2 linked regions of the Yarrowia lipolytica genome follow. The protein of the gene in region 2 binds, or shares a complex with, the protein of the main gene of each other region. Links are inferred from orthologs where the notes say so. Each region holds a gene or a part of one and is shown on either strand. Other genes may lie near its edges. The genes, in order: YALI1_D26316g and YALI1_D33640g.

Evidence for each region.
Region 1: YALI1_D33640g (region 2) and YALI1_D26316g share a complex: the UniProt entries of both Schizosaccharomyces pombe proteins name them as parts of the RSC complex. The link is inferred for Yarrowia lipolytica from reciprocal best matches to the Schizosaccharomyces pombe genes ssr3 and rsc1.

Annotation. Positions count from the first base shown.
Region 1 is NC_090773.1:2,626,391-2,635,622, forward strand, and holds YALI1_D26316g (uncharacterized protein), read right to left. Parts: upstream 5,201-9,232; coding exon 2,921-5,200; downstream 1-2,920. Other genes in the region: YALI1_D26263g (uncharacterized protein), read left to right, coding at 1-1,190; YALI1_D26320g (uncharacterized protein), read left to right, coding at 5,606-6,517; YALI1_D26360g (uncharacterized protein), read right to left, coding at 8,233-9,232. UniProt on the Schizosaccharomyces pombe protein: Component of the chromatin structure remodeling complex (RSC), which is involved in transcription regulation and nucleosome positioning. Controls particularly membrane and organelle development genes.
Region 2 is NC_090773.1:3,360,197-3,368,496, reverse strand, and holds YALI1_D33640g (uncharacterized protein), read left to right. Parts: upstream 1-4,599; coding exon 4,600-5,757; downstream 5,758-8,300. Other genes in the region: YALI1_D33696g (uncharacterized protein), read left to right, coding at 1-1,040; YALI1_D33653g (uncharacterized protein), read right to left, coding at 2,399-3,292. UniProt on the Schizosaccharomyces pombe protein: Component of the chromatin structure remodeling complex (RSC), which is involved in transcription regulation and nucleosome positioning. Controls particularly membrane and organelle development genes.

The sequences.
Region 1 (9,232 bases), about 730 kb from region 2:
ACCACCAGCACAAGCGAGAGGCCGGCATTGAGACCGTCTTCGTCCAGGTCACCAACTACGTTGATGCCAACGGAAATGCCGTCGACGCCAACGGAAACCCCGTCCAGGTCGCTACCCAGGCCCCCCAGGCTCCTTCTCCCACCGCCCAGGTTGAGGCCAAGGTCACCGCCGCCGCCGCTGCCCCCGCTCAGGAGCAGAAGGAGGGAGGCTCTTTCGCCGCCTGGTGGTCCAACATGTGGGAGCCCGCCGGACAGTCCACCTCTGCCGCTGCCCCTAAGTCTTCTCCCTCTGCCACCCAGAAGCAGGAGGAGGCTGCCGCTGCCCCCTCTTCTTCCTCCGAGGCCCCCAAGTCTTCCGCCTCTTCTTCCTCTTCCTCCTCTTCCGGATCCCAGGGTGTCCCCCAGTCCGACTCCTCCTTCCCCGGTGGAGCTCTCGGTATGGTCTACTCTCCCTACAACTCTGACGGTACCTGCAAGGACGCCGGAGCTGTGAAGTCTGACCTCGCCAAGCTCTCCAACTACGAGGTGATCCGAATCTACGGTACCGACTGCAACCAGGTCCCCAACGTTCTGGCTGCCATTGCCCCCCACCAGAAGATCTTTGCTGGTGTCTTTGACGTCAACGACGTTGACAACTCCCTCAAGGCCATCTCCGATGCCGTCAAGGCCCACGGCGGCTGGGACGTTGTCCACACCGTCTCCATCGGTAACGAGCTCGTCAACAACGGCGCCATGACCGCCTCTGCCATGAACCAGATCACCAACTCTTCTCGACAGAAGCTGCGAAACTACGGCTACCAGGGACCCGTCGTCTCCGTCGACACCTTCATTGCTGTTATCAACAACCCCGAGCTCTGTGACGCCTCCGACTACATGGCTGTCAACGCCCACGCCTTCTTCGATGGTCACATCAAGGCTGAGGACGCCGGCGAGTGGGCTGTTCAGCAGACCCAGCGAGTCTGGACTGCCTGCAACGGTAAGAAGGAGGTCATGATTGCCGAGTCCGGCTGGCCCTCTTCCGGAGGAACCAACGGTGTTGCCGTTCCCTCCAAGGACAACCAGAACAAGGCCATCCAGTCCCTCAAGTCCGCCATTGGCAACGACTGTATCCTCTTCACCGCCTTCAACGACTACTGGAAGTCTCCCGGTGCCTTTGCCGCCGAGCAGTACTGGGGTATTTTCTCCAACTAAGCTTCTTTTTTTGAGTAGCCGTTGATAGCGATGTATTTAGCTAATTGATACCTCTAGAAAAACCAAACAAAGTAACAGATTAATTTAACCATCTAATGTGAGAGTACAAGTAGTATGCATTCTCTGTATTAAGTAGTTTTAACCAGCGAGCACTCAAGTACCTGTACTTGATGGTTAGGTCTTGTACTAGAACTCAGCCTAGCGAGCCACCAAGACTGCGCTCCCTGAAACCACCGAAAAAAAACGCATAGATGCGTCTATTTTGGTGTGGCCTGTCCCGTCATGTTGCGCCGTATTTAGCCACATATGCAGTAGCGTGTTTAGACTGTTGTTGGTCTTGGCGAAATGCGGTGGACTGGCATATCTGGGGCTCCGAAACGGGAATACCGTCCTCGTATTGGCTGCGATTGGCTGGAAACAGTTCTGATGGCCCGGGTGTCACTTGTTGACGTCTGAAGTGTGACGTTCTGGCGTCTCATTTCCGACACTCCTGCAGTCTGCATCGTACAAAGTGAGGTGCAGTGAGGTGCAGTGAGGTGCAGATGCAGAGGACGAGGTCGTTTATTATGAGCTGAAACGGAGTTGGCTGAGCTGGGTAAGATTAAATAAATGAGAACGTACGGAATCAATGATCGAGGGGCCACGGAGGTTCGGGGGCTGGTTTGGTGTAAAATGAGTGTTACGAGCACTTTATGAAGAGAGTGGTTGCCACTTTGAGCATCTCCTACTGCAAATACAACTACTGTAGTTATGTACGATACTTGTACCACTGCACTTTGTCGTTAACAGCCATTATGGTACAGTATCGTACCGTAGGACTTCTCCTGTACAGTGCATACGAGTTCTCGTGGTAATGTAATCTTAGCCATGAGTGTTGGTGATCGGTTATCACAAAACCCGTCCTACATGAAACCGGTGCTATACGCAGTCATCTCGCCGTTGATATCAAACATGTCTGTCTTCTACACGGTGCTTATAGTAGAGACAATCCAGCATTCCGGTTGGGTTCCGCCAGTGTTCCATGGCACCGACTATCTTGGTACTACTGTACAACATTCCATAAACGGAGCTAGAGGAGCTGTAGCTAGTGATTAGTAACCGGAGCTAGAGGAAATACGTGCAAGATCCACGCTAGTCCGAGGGCCGTCCTTCCTATTTGTATATCACGCATCCAGCCAGTATTCCTGAACGGGAATATCACCGTTGGTAAGAGTATTGGACGCATTAGTTCAACTACCGGTACAGTATTTGTAGCCGAGGCTAAGTGACTTGTACCCGAGAAGCTCGTACTTGTAGCTACGAGTCGAGCACAAAAGCTGTGGGCAAGCAATCTATGTCAGAAAAGAGATGAACTACGATACCTGTGATTGTACTACTGCAGCACTACCGGTACAGTGCAGTATGTACTTGTGACCATACTGTATGTATGCGCTGTACTCATACTTACCGTACTCATGGTCTTGAGCATCTAGAGTAATTCGCAACTGGTCTCAATCATATTGTACCAGCTATTTGCACTCATCTCATGCTACTCGTACAAGTAAGTCCCAGTTCTCGCCTTCATGTTCTCACTGCGCCAAACCACCCCCAAGATTGTGTGAAGAGCGGCTGATCAAATCAGATTGTGCTTGCTGTCGACTCAAACAACCATCGCTCACACCAACCGTTAATCTCATAAAATTACAATATAAACACTATCGTCCCCTAGTCTTGGTACCACCACCAATACTCTACTTCGCACCCCCCTTGGCACTCTCTGCGGCCCTCTTGGCTTTGAAAGCCAAGTACTTTGCACTGTGCCCGACTCGCACAATACGCATCTTCTTCGGAGGCTCTCCATACTTGGACAGCTTGAGCTTTCCGTACATGTGCGTGTCTTTGCAGGGCTCAAAAGTGTCGGGGCAGTGCACAGGCGGCGAAATGAACCACTGCACAGCCATGGTTTTCTCTTTAGTAGGCCATCGAGCAACCTTGGACGGCTCGTTCGTCTCGGGATCCAGCTCATATCCTGCACTCAGCTGCTGCTGCACAGCTTCAGGAAGCGTGAAGTTGACGGGGGGACCCACCACCTGAAAGATCTGCTGCTCGCCAACAGGCCCAATAGGCTGCGCATGTACAGGAACAGGACCCTGCATCTGAATGTGCTGCAGAGGAGCAGGGGTGTAATGAGGTGGCAGGGCAGAGTTGGTCCCAGGAACCACAGTTCGAACAGCGGGCTGTTCTGGAGCAGGTCGAGGAGCCAGGTGGCCAGAAGCAGGCTTGGCCCCCATTCCATGAGGCTGAGGGGAAGCGTAGTCACCAGTGTTGTTCGTTCGCTGGAACTGAGGAGGCTCTATGTACTCGTCAGCAGGAGTGGGTTCCTCCGGGGGGTCAGCGGGGTCGAAAGGACGTCGATAAACAGCTCCAACAACAGGAGGAGCATTCTCCACGCCCAGGGTCGCCTCAGGAACAGGATCGTCTTCTCGAGCTCCAGGAGCAAGAGTGTGTTTGATGGGAGAGGGCAGTCGTCTCAGAGGCTGAACCTTTTCAAACAGGTCCATGGCGTAATCCTGAGAGTCTACCTCGTCGGGGATACACGCCTTCCAAGTTCGGATCTTGTTAAAGGTCTTTTCCACCTCGTTGTATCGGGATTCACACAGGTACACCTTTCTGTCACCAATGCCCTGGGGCCGACCTCGCTGGTACCGTGTGAAGAACATGACAAAACACTTTTCCAGAATCTCGTCCACCAGATGGTCTCTGTACTGGCCCGATTTGACCACCTCGTTCTCGTAGAAGACCTTGTCTACTCGATGAACGGTCTGTTCGGGCCGGTAGTACCAGCATGCATTGACCCACTTCTGACCGTCGGGAGCCTGCCAGATTCGGAAGATTTGGCCAATGGTGGGTTTGGAGGGATCATTCATGTTGTGAATATGAACCCAGTCACCCACTCGGTAGATGTCACCTCGATGCTGGACACTGTCCAGGGGAAGGCGTGATGTTTTGTTGTTGTTTCGCGAGGCCAGATCCTGGTATGTAGAGTCAGGTTTTCGCATCTCCTCGTCGGCCAGCAACATCATTTCTTGCTGCAGAATCATGGCGTCGTTGTAAATCTGAGAACCCTCCACGTTGAACTGCCGCGCGTTGGAAAACATAAGGTTCATATCATTGAGAAACGCCTCCACAGTGTCGTACTTGCGTCGCTTGATGTTCTTCTTGATGTTGTCCAGAGCGATGGGCTTGGCAATCTCCTGATAGTACTCCGGGTAGTCTCTCTTTTCAGGCAGCTTTTCGAAAGGGAATGACCGCACCAGTCCCTGTTCGTCACGGGCCTTTCGAACGCCCCGTAAGATGGCCTTGATTCGGTATTCGTGCGGTTTATCAACGATAGGTGGCCGGCCTCGCTTTCGGGGCATGTCATCCATACGGCTTCGCTGCGAGTCCGAGTCCATCTTCTTTCGTGTTCGCACAGACTTTCGTCTCGATTTCCGTCGTCCATCGACGTCGTCATCGTCCGAGTCGTCACTCAAGTCATCCTCGGAAGAATCGGACCCAAACTCCATCTCCACATCGGAACCCTCAGGAAGAGGACCAATAACAGGATAGGTGAGGTCATCGTTGGAAAACTTGTTGGTCTCTCGAAGTACCTCAATAGCCTTGTTCAGGTAGCCGTCCAGAAACACTGCATCGTTGTAGATTCCGGAACCCTTCATGTTGAACAGCCGAGCATTGTAGGTAATCTGGGCGAGGTCGTGAATGAAGTTCTGCACGTTTCGGTACCGCGGCATCGACCGCTTGATCTGTGTCAGCGACAGAGGCCGCTTGATGACCTTGTAGTAGGTTGTGAGACTTCGGTCCGGCAACGAGTGGAACACCTCAAACACCTTGTTGTTGTCAATGTCGTTGTCGATCGTGTAGATGCCGTCAAACAGCGGCGAAATCAGGTCCGAAATGGGCGCGTTGGCCGCGGCGGCCTTCATCACCGCGGGCCGGGCCGTTTCGATCGCGTCCGCGATTGATTGATTCATGTTGGTGGAGGTTGTCTACGCGAAGTGTCGACTGTAGGTTTGAAGGTTGGGAGAAGGGAGCCTAACTATGGGGTGTGATTGGGAGCGTGTGTTCGATCCACGCAAGGGTCGTATTAAACGGGTATTTGTAATGGCATCAGAAATGCAAATTTTGGAGCTTGAGAAAAAACCTGGCAACAGGGGCTCTTTGTTGCATCTTTTACCGGGCTTATAACAGTTTCTCATAGTCTGCTCCGTGTTTTCCACCCCACACATGTTACGCAGGTTTAAATTTCATGCATGAGGAGTCATGTAAGACATCACCATCACCACTACAAGTAGTGGTAGCACACGGAACAACCGACACAAAAGAGCGTGCCAGTACGAGTTTATTAAAAATCAGCCGTGTTCAGAATATCTCGACTCATGCTTTCTTCAGACCTGGAATCGTTCCAGAAACATCTTTTGTCGTCCCGCAAGATCCTGGCTCTTGTTGGCGCGGGCCTCTCTCAGTCGTCAGGCCTCCCTACTTTTAGAGGAGAAGGAGGCATCTGGCGCAACTACGACGCAGCTGAACTTGCCACGCCCGAGGCATTCCACAACGATCCCTCCACGGTATGGCAGTTTTACGCCCACCGAAGACACATGTCTTTGAAGGCCAAGCCCAACCCGGGACACTATGCTCTGGCTGAACTGGCCCGAAGACTGCGCGGACGGTTTCTGACACTTACGCAGAACGTTGACGGTCTCTCGTCGCGCGCAGAGCATCCCCAAGAAGCACTTTTGAAGCTTCATGGAGACCTGTTTGCTCTCAAATGCACGTCCTTCTTCTGTTCATACACCACCGAAGACAACTTTGCAGACCCACTAACGCCGGCACTAAGTATCACCGACAACTACAACTCGGCACAGCTGCAGCGCCACCGAATACCCGTCGAAGATCTGCCCACATGTCCTCAGTGCAAAGAGGGTCTGCTGAGACCCGGAGTGGTGTGGTTTGGAGAATCGTTGCCGTTCAAGGTCATGAACACTGCCGATGAGTTTCTCGAGGACGAAGACGTGGATTTGATTATCGTAGTCGGCACATCGGGAAGCGTGTGGCCCGCTGCTGGCTACGTGGAGCGAGTGGCCCTCAGCGGAGGTAAGGTGGCCATCTTCAACATGGAGATTGACCACTACCAGTATGGAGAAAGTGAGGCCGAAACCACGGACTCCGAAGATAGCAGCAACGAAGACGCTGTGATTGAGGGATGGGCCTTCAAGGGCAACGCCTCCGAGTGGTTGCCAAAGGCTCTGGAACCTGTTATTGGGCGGGCCTTTATGAAGAGAAGAAGTTAGACTGGAAACGGGAACTTGTGGACCAAGTTTAGTGTTAAATTGCATTATTTATGAGTATTTTTAGGGCGTATGAACTATGTAGTCTAGGGTCTTGTAGCCATGTTACAAGCGGCGTTACTGTTAAGAGATAGAAATAGAGTGATCACGAGGAACCAGGGAAGTTGAAGAAGTTGATCCAACTACTTGTCCGTGCGAGAGATAACTACTTCTGCATTTATTCTATATCGGCATGTGGAGTACCAGCAATCCTTACCTCACACAACGCTTTGACCAAGTGGAGGATGGAATGTATCACGAAATAGATGATGGACAACAGAAGACATTTTGAAGATCACCGAATGAAGTTTTATATTCTTTTTTCATCTTGTTTTCATCTGGAATACGCCTTATTTAAACCATTCAAAATTTCTTGAGATATTGTCCCATTTTTTTATTTTTTTTATTTTTTTATTTTTTTATTTTACGGAATTACATTTCAACAACTACTTGAGGCCTAAAAACAGTGTTATACCTGCAAATCGGATTCGGATTCGGTTGTTTAGAAGAGCGCATGATATTCGTGTTTGCTGGTCCATTCGCGCTTTTTTAATTTATTCTAATGATTCTTTTTATTCTAATGATTCGCCGGTTTGGAACAGTTTTCAGATATGGACGAACACTGCCATTTTTTAACATAATTCCGGGTTTCTTGGTCTAGTTGGTCATGGCATCTGCTTAACACGCAGAACGTCGGCAGTTCGATCCTGCCAGAAATCACTTTTTGCTCCCCACGCTGGTCCTATAACAGGATACATTCCTGCATCTGGCTTGATTCACGATATACAGTATGTACTGCATAAAGACTTTATGCATGCACGTCGTGGACTGCATGCATATCAGCAATTTTTTTGCTCCTAGTGCAATTTCATTTCTTCCGGGTTTCTCCGAACTGTAACAGCATGTAATATGGTCATTCAAGGCAACGGAAGGGGATGGAAACGAGATGATTTGAGGGAAAAAGGGCAGTTGACGGAAACGAGATCAATTGATGGAAACGAGATCATTTGACGGAAAAGAGGTACTGTACATTATTGCAACACATGCCATAACACCCGTCTATAGTCCTACTAGCATTTCAGCAACATATCGTATTACTAATTTTCCGGTCGCGCTATCAACATTTCCGAGTGTCCATCTATGTACACTGTGATGTGTAGAGCTACGGTGCGAAGAGATATCAAGTAACACCATTCATGAAAGATAATCGCAAACTCAGATCAACTGGTCTAATGATCCACTACAAGCAGCAAAGACAAACCCATTGACACTCAGACACAACACAATCATGCCTCGTTGCTTCTTCCACCTAACTGTGTCATGCTTGATCCGATATGACTGCCGTCTGTTCTACATGTACAGTAAGATACTATACACTCGTGCAGCTGGAATTCGTACTTCGCGGAGGAGTATCAGTGGAAGCACTTCTTCAGCCGTTTCTTTAGACATTCACACACCTTGATAGTGCACCCCAGATCAGCTCTTGATCCAAGAACATTTCGGCTTTACCAGTTGGCACTTTGTGATCTACGACCAAATGAAATCTACTTGTACTTGCTCTAGTTCGCCCGTCACCTACGGCCATGTACTCTACAAGTTGGCTTGCGACCTGACCTGGCCACTCGCTACCATACAGTTCAGTCATTATTATCTACTACTAAAAGCACCACTAAAAGCGCTTAAAAGTGGATGGCCTTGTCGTAAGTGGCCATGGCGGCCTCCTTGAAAGCCTCGGAGAGAGTGGGGTGGGCGTGGCAGGTTCGAGCAATGTCCTCGCAAGAAGCACCGTACTCAAGGGCAAGAACACCCTCGGCGATCATCTCACCGGCGTTGGGGCCAATGATGTGGATACCGAGAATTCGGTCAGTCTCCTTGTCAGCAATGAACTTGACGGTACCCTCGGTGTCGAGGTTGGTCTTGGCTCGAGAGTTGGCGGCAAAGGGGAACTTGCCGACGTTGTACTTGATGCCGGCCTCCTTGACCTGCTGCTCAGTCTGTCCAACCCAAGCAACCTCAGGGTGGGTGTACATGACAGAGGGGATGGCGGCGTAGTTAACGTGGCCGTGACCGGTGGCAATGTACTCAGCGGTAGCAACTCCCTCCTCCTCGGCCTTGTGGGCCAGCATGGGGCCGAAAGTGACGTCACCAATGCATCGGATGTTGGACTTGTTGGTTCGGTACTCCTGGTCGATGATGATTCGGCCCTTGTCGTCCTTCTCGACACCGGCAGCCTCGAGGTTCAAGCCCTCGGAGTAGGGTCGTCGGCCAATGGCAACGAGCAGAACGTCGGCATCAAGGGTCTCCTTGTCGCCCTTCTTGACGTTCTCGACCTCGACCTTGACACCGTCGCCCTCAATGGCACCGGAAAGCACCTTGGTGCCAAGCTTGAACTTGATACCCTGCTTGGTGAGCATCTTCTGGGCGGCCTTGGCGATCTCGTCGTCCATACCAGCGCCAATGGCGTTCTGGAACTCGACAACAGTCACCTCGGAGCCGAGTCGGGACCAGACGGAGCCCATCTCGAGACCAATGATACCTCCTCCGATGATGACCATCTTCTTGGGGACGGCCTCGAGGGCAAGGGCACCAGTGGAGGAAACAATCTTCTTCTCGTCAATGGTGATGCCGGGGAAGGGGGTGGGCTCAGAGCCGGTGGCAATGATGATGTTCTTGGCCTTG
Region 2 (8,300 bases):
CCGTGAAGAACCCTCTCTTGGAACTCACCTCCCCCTCTCCCGGATCTTCTCTTCTACTCACGCGCAAAAACGAGTCACTCTTCCTTGAAAGTGAATACGTTGTCGTGGAGAAGAGGCAGGTTGAAGTCAACACTTTGGCCGATGAGCTGGCACGCGAGCCAGACGAGAGACGTCCCAGTTCCGAGCGGCGCTTCTCATTGACTTACGGAGCCCCCACTGGAGCCATGGCTCGAGCCTTATCCATGGCGTCCGCCAGACTTTTGGGAGAGAAGAAGAACGGTGCTGGACACGGTTCTGGAAATGGTTCTAGAAATGGTTCTGGAAATGGTTCCGGAAACTGCGCCAGGCTGTCAGCAGGGGCAGCTCTTTCTGGAACTAGTTCTGGAACCTCTACGACCGGCAAATCGCCTCCTGTTCCTGCCACAACAACCCTATCTCTGTCGGAGCGCGAGATTGTCGAAACTCTCGAGGAAATCGCAGCCAAAGCCCGCTCAATTGCTCTCCTGGCAGATGTCAAGTATTCACAGATCCAGGACGACGTGGACAACCCAGACATGAATCTGCCTGACTCCGTCTCTTCCTCCATTGCAGAAGAAGCCATGCTCTTGTACGTCAAGACACTGTCTCTGCTGTCGCTCGCTATGGATCAAGCCGGAGCCTGGTGGTCCAATAACCACAAAGACAACAAGATGGTGTCTTCCCACTTCAATGAAATCATTCAGTGGACCCGAAGCGCTTTCAACGAGTCACTGGAGCGGGCCGAAACGGTGAAAAAGAAGGTCTCCTCAGGAACTACACACACCACGGCCGAAAAGTTGATTTTCGACCGCGCCCTGGAAATGTCACGGGACGCAGCTGTTCAGGAGATCTCCGGCGACTTCACTGGCTGCGAGTCGGCCTACACCACGTCCATTTGGATGCTGGAGGCGCTTCTGGAGGATGACGAAGATGGACTTGGCGAGGAGGATCGCAGAATTGTGGAGCGGTTCATTAGTAGTATTACTAAACGGTTGGTGATACTGAGGGGTCAGCAGGAGTAATTAGTTCTATGTGGGGGCTGCGAAGACATTGGTAGCAGTGACGTCAGTGGTGACAGAGACGACAATGGTAGCAGCGCCGACAGTGGTAGCAACAGCGCCGGCAACGGCAACACGACAAACTAACATAGGTATATTTATAGTGACTAACAGATTTGAGTTGACATATTCGGACGTATGGAGCAGGAGGTGGGCTGATTTGATGTTTTGAGATTGCCAGAAAACTGCTTTGGTGAGGCCAAATTAAAACTCTTGTATGGTGGAAGTTGTTGGTCATGTTTTTCTTTTTTTCTTTTTGAAGAATCTTGACTATCAAATACCCGTTGAAATTTCTTTTTGATTTTTGATTTTTGATTTATTTTTGATTTTTGATTTATTTTTTTTTTTTTATTTTTTATTTATTTCATTTATTTACATTTATTTACATTTATTTACATTTTTTTACATTTAATTTACATTTTATTTATTCATATTTATTCATATTTATTCATATTTATTCATATTTAATTCATATTTTATTTATATTTATTTATATTTTTTTATATTTATTATTTTATTTATTTATTTTTGATTTACGGACATGTGGCATCCTCATTCTGCTTATATTGGGATTTGAGACGGGAATCAGGATATGATGGATAGGAGTTGGCAATAAACTAATTATACGGAATTGATTCTCTTGACGCAATTATTTGATTCCCGTTGTATTTGTTTTATTCCGATATATATCCATCAGTCTAGAACGACATGTATTCTCCACCCCCTTCAACATAAAATGTAAGTCGAGAGTTGCACAAGTGAGAAGGTGGTTTGTGTAAACATGAGCTTTTGTGGACATGTATTTCACCGATTAAACTTGGATTATTTTGGTCGGTGAAGTATTCGGGATTTCAGATCAGATGAAATCTTTCTGGTTTGTTATGAGGCTTCATGCTAGTTGAACTACAATTATATAGTTGAGAGTCTAGTTAACCCAAGTATAGTCTCATGGATTTCGGTTCGAGAAGATAATTCCATTCCTGAAACAATTCAGAATAGTATAACCCACATCTTCTCTCAGAATCAACATGGCAAAACCGTCATACCACTGCTGAACATGCCTGCTCCCACAATCCAAGCACGTGAAAGTGTTGCTGTTCGAATTTCCACCTCCGGTTATTCATTCCTCAACTATACCCTAACAAAACCAACTCTTTTGGTTGGTACCCCAAACAGATTTTTGTTCTCGGAAGCCTTGTGCACCCTTGTACAATTGGTTCGGATAGAACAGGATCTGTTCTGTTTGTTGTTGACTACTACGATTCGGATTATTGCATCACTGCAAGACCTTGTAATACTACTGGGTACTCCACTAACATTCCTCATCTGCCCAACTCGGTCAACTTCTCGAAAGCCAGGGCAAAATGGTCCCGCCACAGCTCCTCAGATACGGCGTACTGATCGACCCAGAAACGGAAATTGGCATCCTCAATCAGACTCATGTCCGAGGGCATCATCACCTGACCGGTGCTGTTGACGTACTGCTTCCGTCCAGTAGGCGAGTCCACCAGAGTCCAAACGTTGCCTAACAACAACTTGTAGAACTCGTTGTCACACTTGGCTGGATTAGAAGTCCACGGACCATCGAAGCCGGACCGATGAGGGTGCAATCGGCCTAGCGAATGAGCACCAATCAAAGCGACTGTTTCCTGGTCGTTAAACCCCATTCGGGAGAAGATAGTCCGCACGTGGGACGCATCTCCCCCGCCCAAGGGTAGACGGCCGTTCGGGGGCACCAGAAGGTCGTCCTCGTAGTCAACTCGGCCATCGCGCCACTTAATTGAGGGACCTTTGCACGCCTCAATTGAGACCACGCCGGCAAGAATCCATAGGTCCGCGTACGTGATCCAGGGGTGTTTGCGCTTGATGGGTTCTAGAGACAAACGGGCCACTTCAAGCCCCACGTTGCCCTCATCGCTGGCTTCAAGATGGTACCGCATGGTCGCACCATTGGACCCTCCCGTGCGTGTGTACTTGTCATAGGTGGCGCAAGAATGCCACGCCAGACGGATCAGCAGAGGGGCAAGAGTGCCGTCCTTAAACACGGTAGTGTTCTTCTGAGGAAGAATATTGTGGAGATCTGCCCGCACAAGATTGTAGTTTTTATTCCGAACAGACACCGCCAGTCGGGCAGACTCGCGAAACTGCACTCGTAAGTAGGCCGAATAGATGATGAATACCCGATGTTTCTGCTCGGACACACTGGGGTAGTTCATGCCGGGGAGATGTGAAGTTAAGTGGTGGTAGAGTGTTTCTGACGTGAAAGTTGTCGGTCAGAAGTCTGAAGTATCCTGCTATATAGAACTTCTCTGTGCCAGGTATCAAGAGACGGAGGAGGTATGTCTGGATGGGGGCTTGAAGCTATGGTAAGCCCTTGAGAAGATGAACAGAGGCAAGTGTGGGTTACGTCTTGAATGTCGTAGGAGGAGTCTCTGAGCGGTATCTGAGGTGTGCTGAGAAGGTGTATCACAGGTAGAGAATTAGAGCTGATGAAATAATGCTCGGGTTTCCTCTGGAATCAAAGACGTTTGTAAACTGGTATCACGTAAGTTATGTCGCTGGGTGAACAAAGTCGTTTTGGTCTTTGTGGCTACCGTAGGTATCTAATAAATACTCAGGCAGAGAACGGTATGTGTCACAGACTTCCGATGGTATCAGACGGTCTGTCGTAAGTTCAGTCCAGTACAGTAGTGAGTTTTCAAGATGTTGGAGCTGTTAGAGCTTTTGGATCTTTGTCAGAGATAGAGCACTTCTATCCGGTACTAGGCAGGTGACGGTGTGTGCTATTGTAGAAGTTGTTGCGACTGGAGCGACGATTGTGTCTAGGATTGGAAAAACAGCTGTATCGCTGATGGAAGGTTGAACTGCTGGCTGTTGAAGTTGGAGTAGAAGTTGGAGTAGGATAAAGTGATGATGGAGAAGAAGAGTTGAAATGAGACCCAAGTATCGAAATAAGGTGAAGAGAGGGGCGGTGAGGGGTGGTGAGGTGCAAAGGTGAGTTGCAGGATTATTTAGCGAGAATATAGACAACAGCACTGCGACTAAATCTCGTGATGTTTTTTTTGTAACTCTGCGATTCTGTTTGTGTCCAGAAACACGAAGTCTGGATCAAAAAAAAAAAAATCTCAAAGACATCCCGACCGCCGTTTCTTACTGGATCTGAAGCTCATCTCCTGTTTGTGGTTTCATGAAGATGTCTAATTTTAATGAATTTTTAATATTTTTAATATTAAAGATTTTAAATTGAGTTTTAATGTTGTTTTTTTTGAGAAATACAATTAATCTTGAATATATTGGTTTTGTGTCACTTGCCTAAATCTACATATAGCACCGTGTCCCCGTCCCTGTTCCCTTTATCATCCCTGTTTCTTATCTCCGCCCTTTCGTTACCACCGCCCTCTGTTCGTCACCACCGCTTAGTCACAAACTTTCTGCACCTAATTCCCACCTCCCAATTCCATCACCACCAACACACACATCTGTTGTTCACCACATAACAGATATCGCACTTCCAGCCAGTCACATGAACGCAATCGACAAACACTACACACAAAAGCCGACGGACAAGAATCTGTCGGCCAAATTCGACTCGATTCTGCCGGATACAGCGGTGTACCGGAAACTACAGGACCTCGAACGACGCATGGACGCGACCTTCACACGCAAGCGGCTGGACCTCGGCGACCTGCAGGCTCGTATGCTCAAGCAGAAGAAGACGTTGCGGCTGTTTGTTTCCAACACTGCGGCGCACCAGGCGTGGCAGATCGACCCGGACAACATGGGTGACTTCCAGCCCCCGTCGTGGACGCTCAACATTGAGGGAAACGTGGAGGGCGAGGACAAGCCGTTCTCTTCGTATTTTACTAGTATCTCCGTCGAGGTCAACGGCGAGATTGTTGAGTGGCATGAACCCCAGGGCGAGCGACCTGCGCCCACAGAGGAGCTGGCTGGCGACGTGACGGGCAAGGATGTAGGCTTCGACGTGTTCAAAATGACACGTGAGGGCTCGGGCCAGATCCCTGCGCGAATCGTGCTCCAACTCAAGGAGTACCCCGATCGAGCGCGTCTGTCGGAACCTCTGTCGGAAATTTTGGCGCTGGACGAGGCCTCCAAGTCGGACATCATCCTTGCTCTGTGGCAGTACATCAAGTTCCACGATCTGCAGCAGACCGAGGAGAAGCGAAACATCAAGTGTGATGAGCCGCTGAGACAGCTGTTTGGACGTAACACTGTAACTTTCCCGGAAATTATGGAGCTGATCACGCCCCATCTTCTACCCAAAGAACCCCTGGTCATCAACTACACCATTGACACAGACGTGGAGAACAACCTGGGCGAAACCGTGTTTGATTTGGCACTCGAGTTTGACGACGACATCAACGCTGAGATTGGAAAGATCACCAAGCACTGGTTCGACAACCAGGAGGATATTTTCAAGTTGGATGAGCACATCGCGCTGATTATTCAGCAGCTCAACAACACCAGACTGAAGAGGGAGTTCTTCAAGCAGTTTGCTGCCAACCCGTCGGACTTTCTGTCCAAATGGAACTCGTCACAGGCACGTGACCTCAAGTTGCTGTCTGGCGACCGAGGTTTCAACGAAGAGGAGGTCCGAAAGTCGTCCTTTTACACAGACGAGTTCATGGGCGAGTCTGCTCATCTGTTGTTGGCCCGACGGTAAAACACGGTGTTTAGGATTGTATTAATGGAAATAAATGTATTATATGGCTATAAGGAGTAAAGGAGTTGGTCGATTAATCAGTTGCAGGAGGACTGTTTTTTGCGGCCATACAGAGGTCATAGCAATGGTTCTGAGTGGAGAAGATGTGTTGAACCAGCCTGCTTTAAGAGCTGTCTAACGCCGGTGAAACGAACCGTCTGTCTAATAACGGTGGTTAGCTGAGTCTTTCGCTTTTGTGAGGTGGACAGCACACGTTTTTCACTCCAACCCAGGTCCACAAGTGTCATACTGCATGTTTTGATGGTGTCCCTGACAGGCGCTGCTTTTCGATGGCGGGTCAGTTGTTTCACTCGTCTGTGGGATAGGGTATTCAGGTTGTCAGAGAATGTAGCTCGATGGGAATCTGCGATGATACAAGAACCAAACTGGAGTTTAGCTGTGGTATCACGGGGGTGATGACGATTGACGATTTGACACGGCTGGGACAAGACCTTGATCGCAGTCCAACCAGAGCTCAGTTGTGGTGTTAGTCAACATGAAGACGAAATGATGTCACAGATGATATCTCTGGCACAGATACCTGTTCACAGTCACTGTCCCGCACGGGTCAGGCTTACAGTCGCCATCTTGCACACATGTCATACCCATAGCCATGATCTCACGCAAAGGTCGTGCCACTAGTACCTCTCTCATGGCTTCAGTCCACCCTGCGACACCATCCGCCCCGGCTCTGGCGACAGTATGAAACGAACTGAGCATGATCGAGTGAATGTTCAGGAGAAGGGACGTCTGAGAGGAGGACTGGAGCCGAGTACCTATTCATGTCCGCGTCTGAGGGTGGGTGCTCTTGGAGCTATGTAGCGGTATCTGTTTGTGTCTGAGGTGTATCCCTGGAAGCAGGCGATGACGTGGCGGCGTCTGTCGATGATTTTGTCATCAAATGATGCATATTATCGTCGCCCAAACCGTCAGTGGTTGAACTGTGGGCAAAACCATTGCTCAAATCGTCGGCGAAATCGTTCCGGTGGTTCTGTGGTATCTCTGTTTGGATCTCTGTTCATGTCTGTGTCTGAGTGATGTGGTAGAGTAGAGAAGAGTTTGACACTCTCCTTTCATTTGCGGCGGTTATTCCCCAGGAGATTTGGCCGTCCAATATTATTCTCAGGCATGTAATCATAACCAATAAATTATATAAAACAAATAAAACAAATAAAAATAAAATAAAAATAAAAATAAAAAAAAATTAAAAATAAAAATAAAAATAAAATAAAAATAAAAATCAATATCAAAATCAAAATAAAAATAAAAATCAAAATCAAATCAAAATCAAAATCAAAATCAAAATCAAAATCAAAATCAAAATCAAATCAAATCAAATCAAATCAAATCAAATCAAAACATCCGTTCCGCTAGACTACAAGTACCGCTTCAAAAAACCCTACCTCGGTCACTGGTACGATCCACTCTACCAACTGAAACACACCTTTCGATGAAGACAAAGGCCCAACTCCAGTCTCAACAAAACACCCTTTATCCTCCATCGGCCGAGTCGGCTCGGAGTCGGAAAAAAAATTGTGTTCGAAAATGAAAGGACAAGGACTCATACCAACAGACAATCAGCAAGTATCGAACAGGTACAACCAGCAGCTATGCACAAATATCCGATCCGGAACTTTGTCGACGGATAATTCCAATACCGCACTACAAGTAGGAGACTGATGTAGTATGTACATACTTGTACGACTCTTTTCCTCATAGTTTGGTATCAGAAACGAGCGCCCAATAGATGACGTCACGTGACATATTCTGGTTCCAAGCCGCCAACAAAGAGCAACGCTTGGTTCAAAAGGAACGACGGAGCAATTCCCAGAGTTTGGATGTATGTACTTGTGGTATGGTTCAACCCCCCCCCCCACGCCGCCCTCCTGAGGTTGAGTGTAGGATGCTCCACTTTCGACGGTTAAAAAGGCGTTCAAAACAACGTTCAAAACAACGTCAATAGCTGTCTGTCTACTCAATTGATATTTGTGGTCTTTTTTTCGTCCTTCTCCACTCGCTCTAATGTATTTCGTACCATGTTCTTCACCTCCTTCCTCCGGCTCCACTCCGACCGGAACAAACATCCGACTTTATGTATAGAGTTGGGTAAGGAAAGGGTGATTTGGTCTGTGATAGTGAGATACTATATTCTTACAGATTGCCGTGGCTTGAGAAACTTGAAGGGCAGGGTTGGTAACTTGGTGCGTTGTTTTTATCTTTTTTTTCTCTTTTTTTTCCGCTTTTTTTCCCTTTTCTTTGTATTTTCCGTTTTTCATTTATTTATTTTATTTTATGTTATTTTATTTAATCTACATCCATCGATTACCACTCTTCAGCTGAGTCGAAACTTGCCACAATGTGGCCTCCACAAATAACCCAATCCCGCCTACAAAATAACCGTGCATTGCACCACTCCAGACTGCACCATGCCCCATACTGACATACGGCGTAACAGCACATCACACTTTTGAGGCAATTGTGAGCCGCCGAAAAAGCGGGGTTCG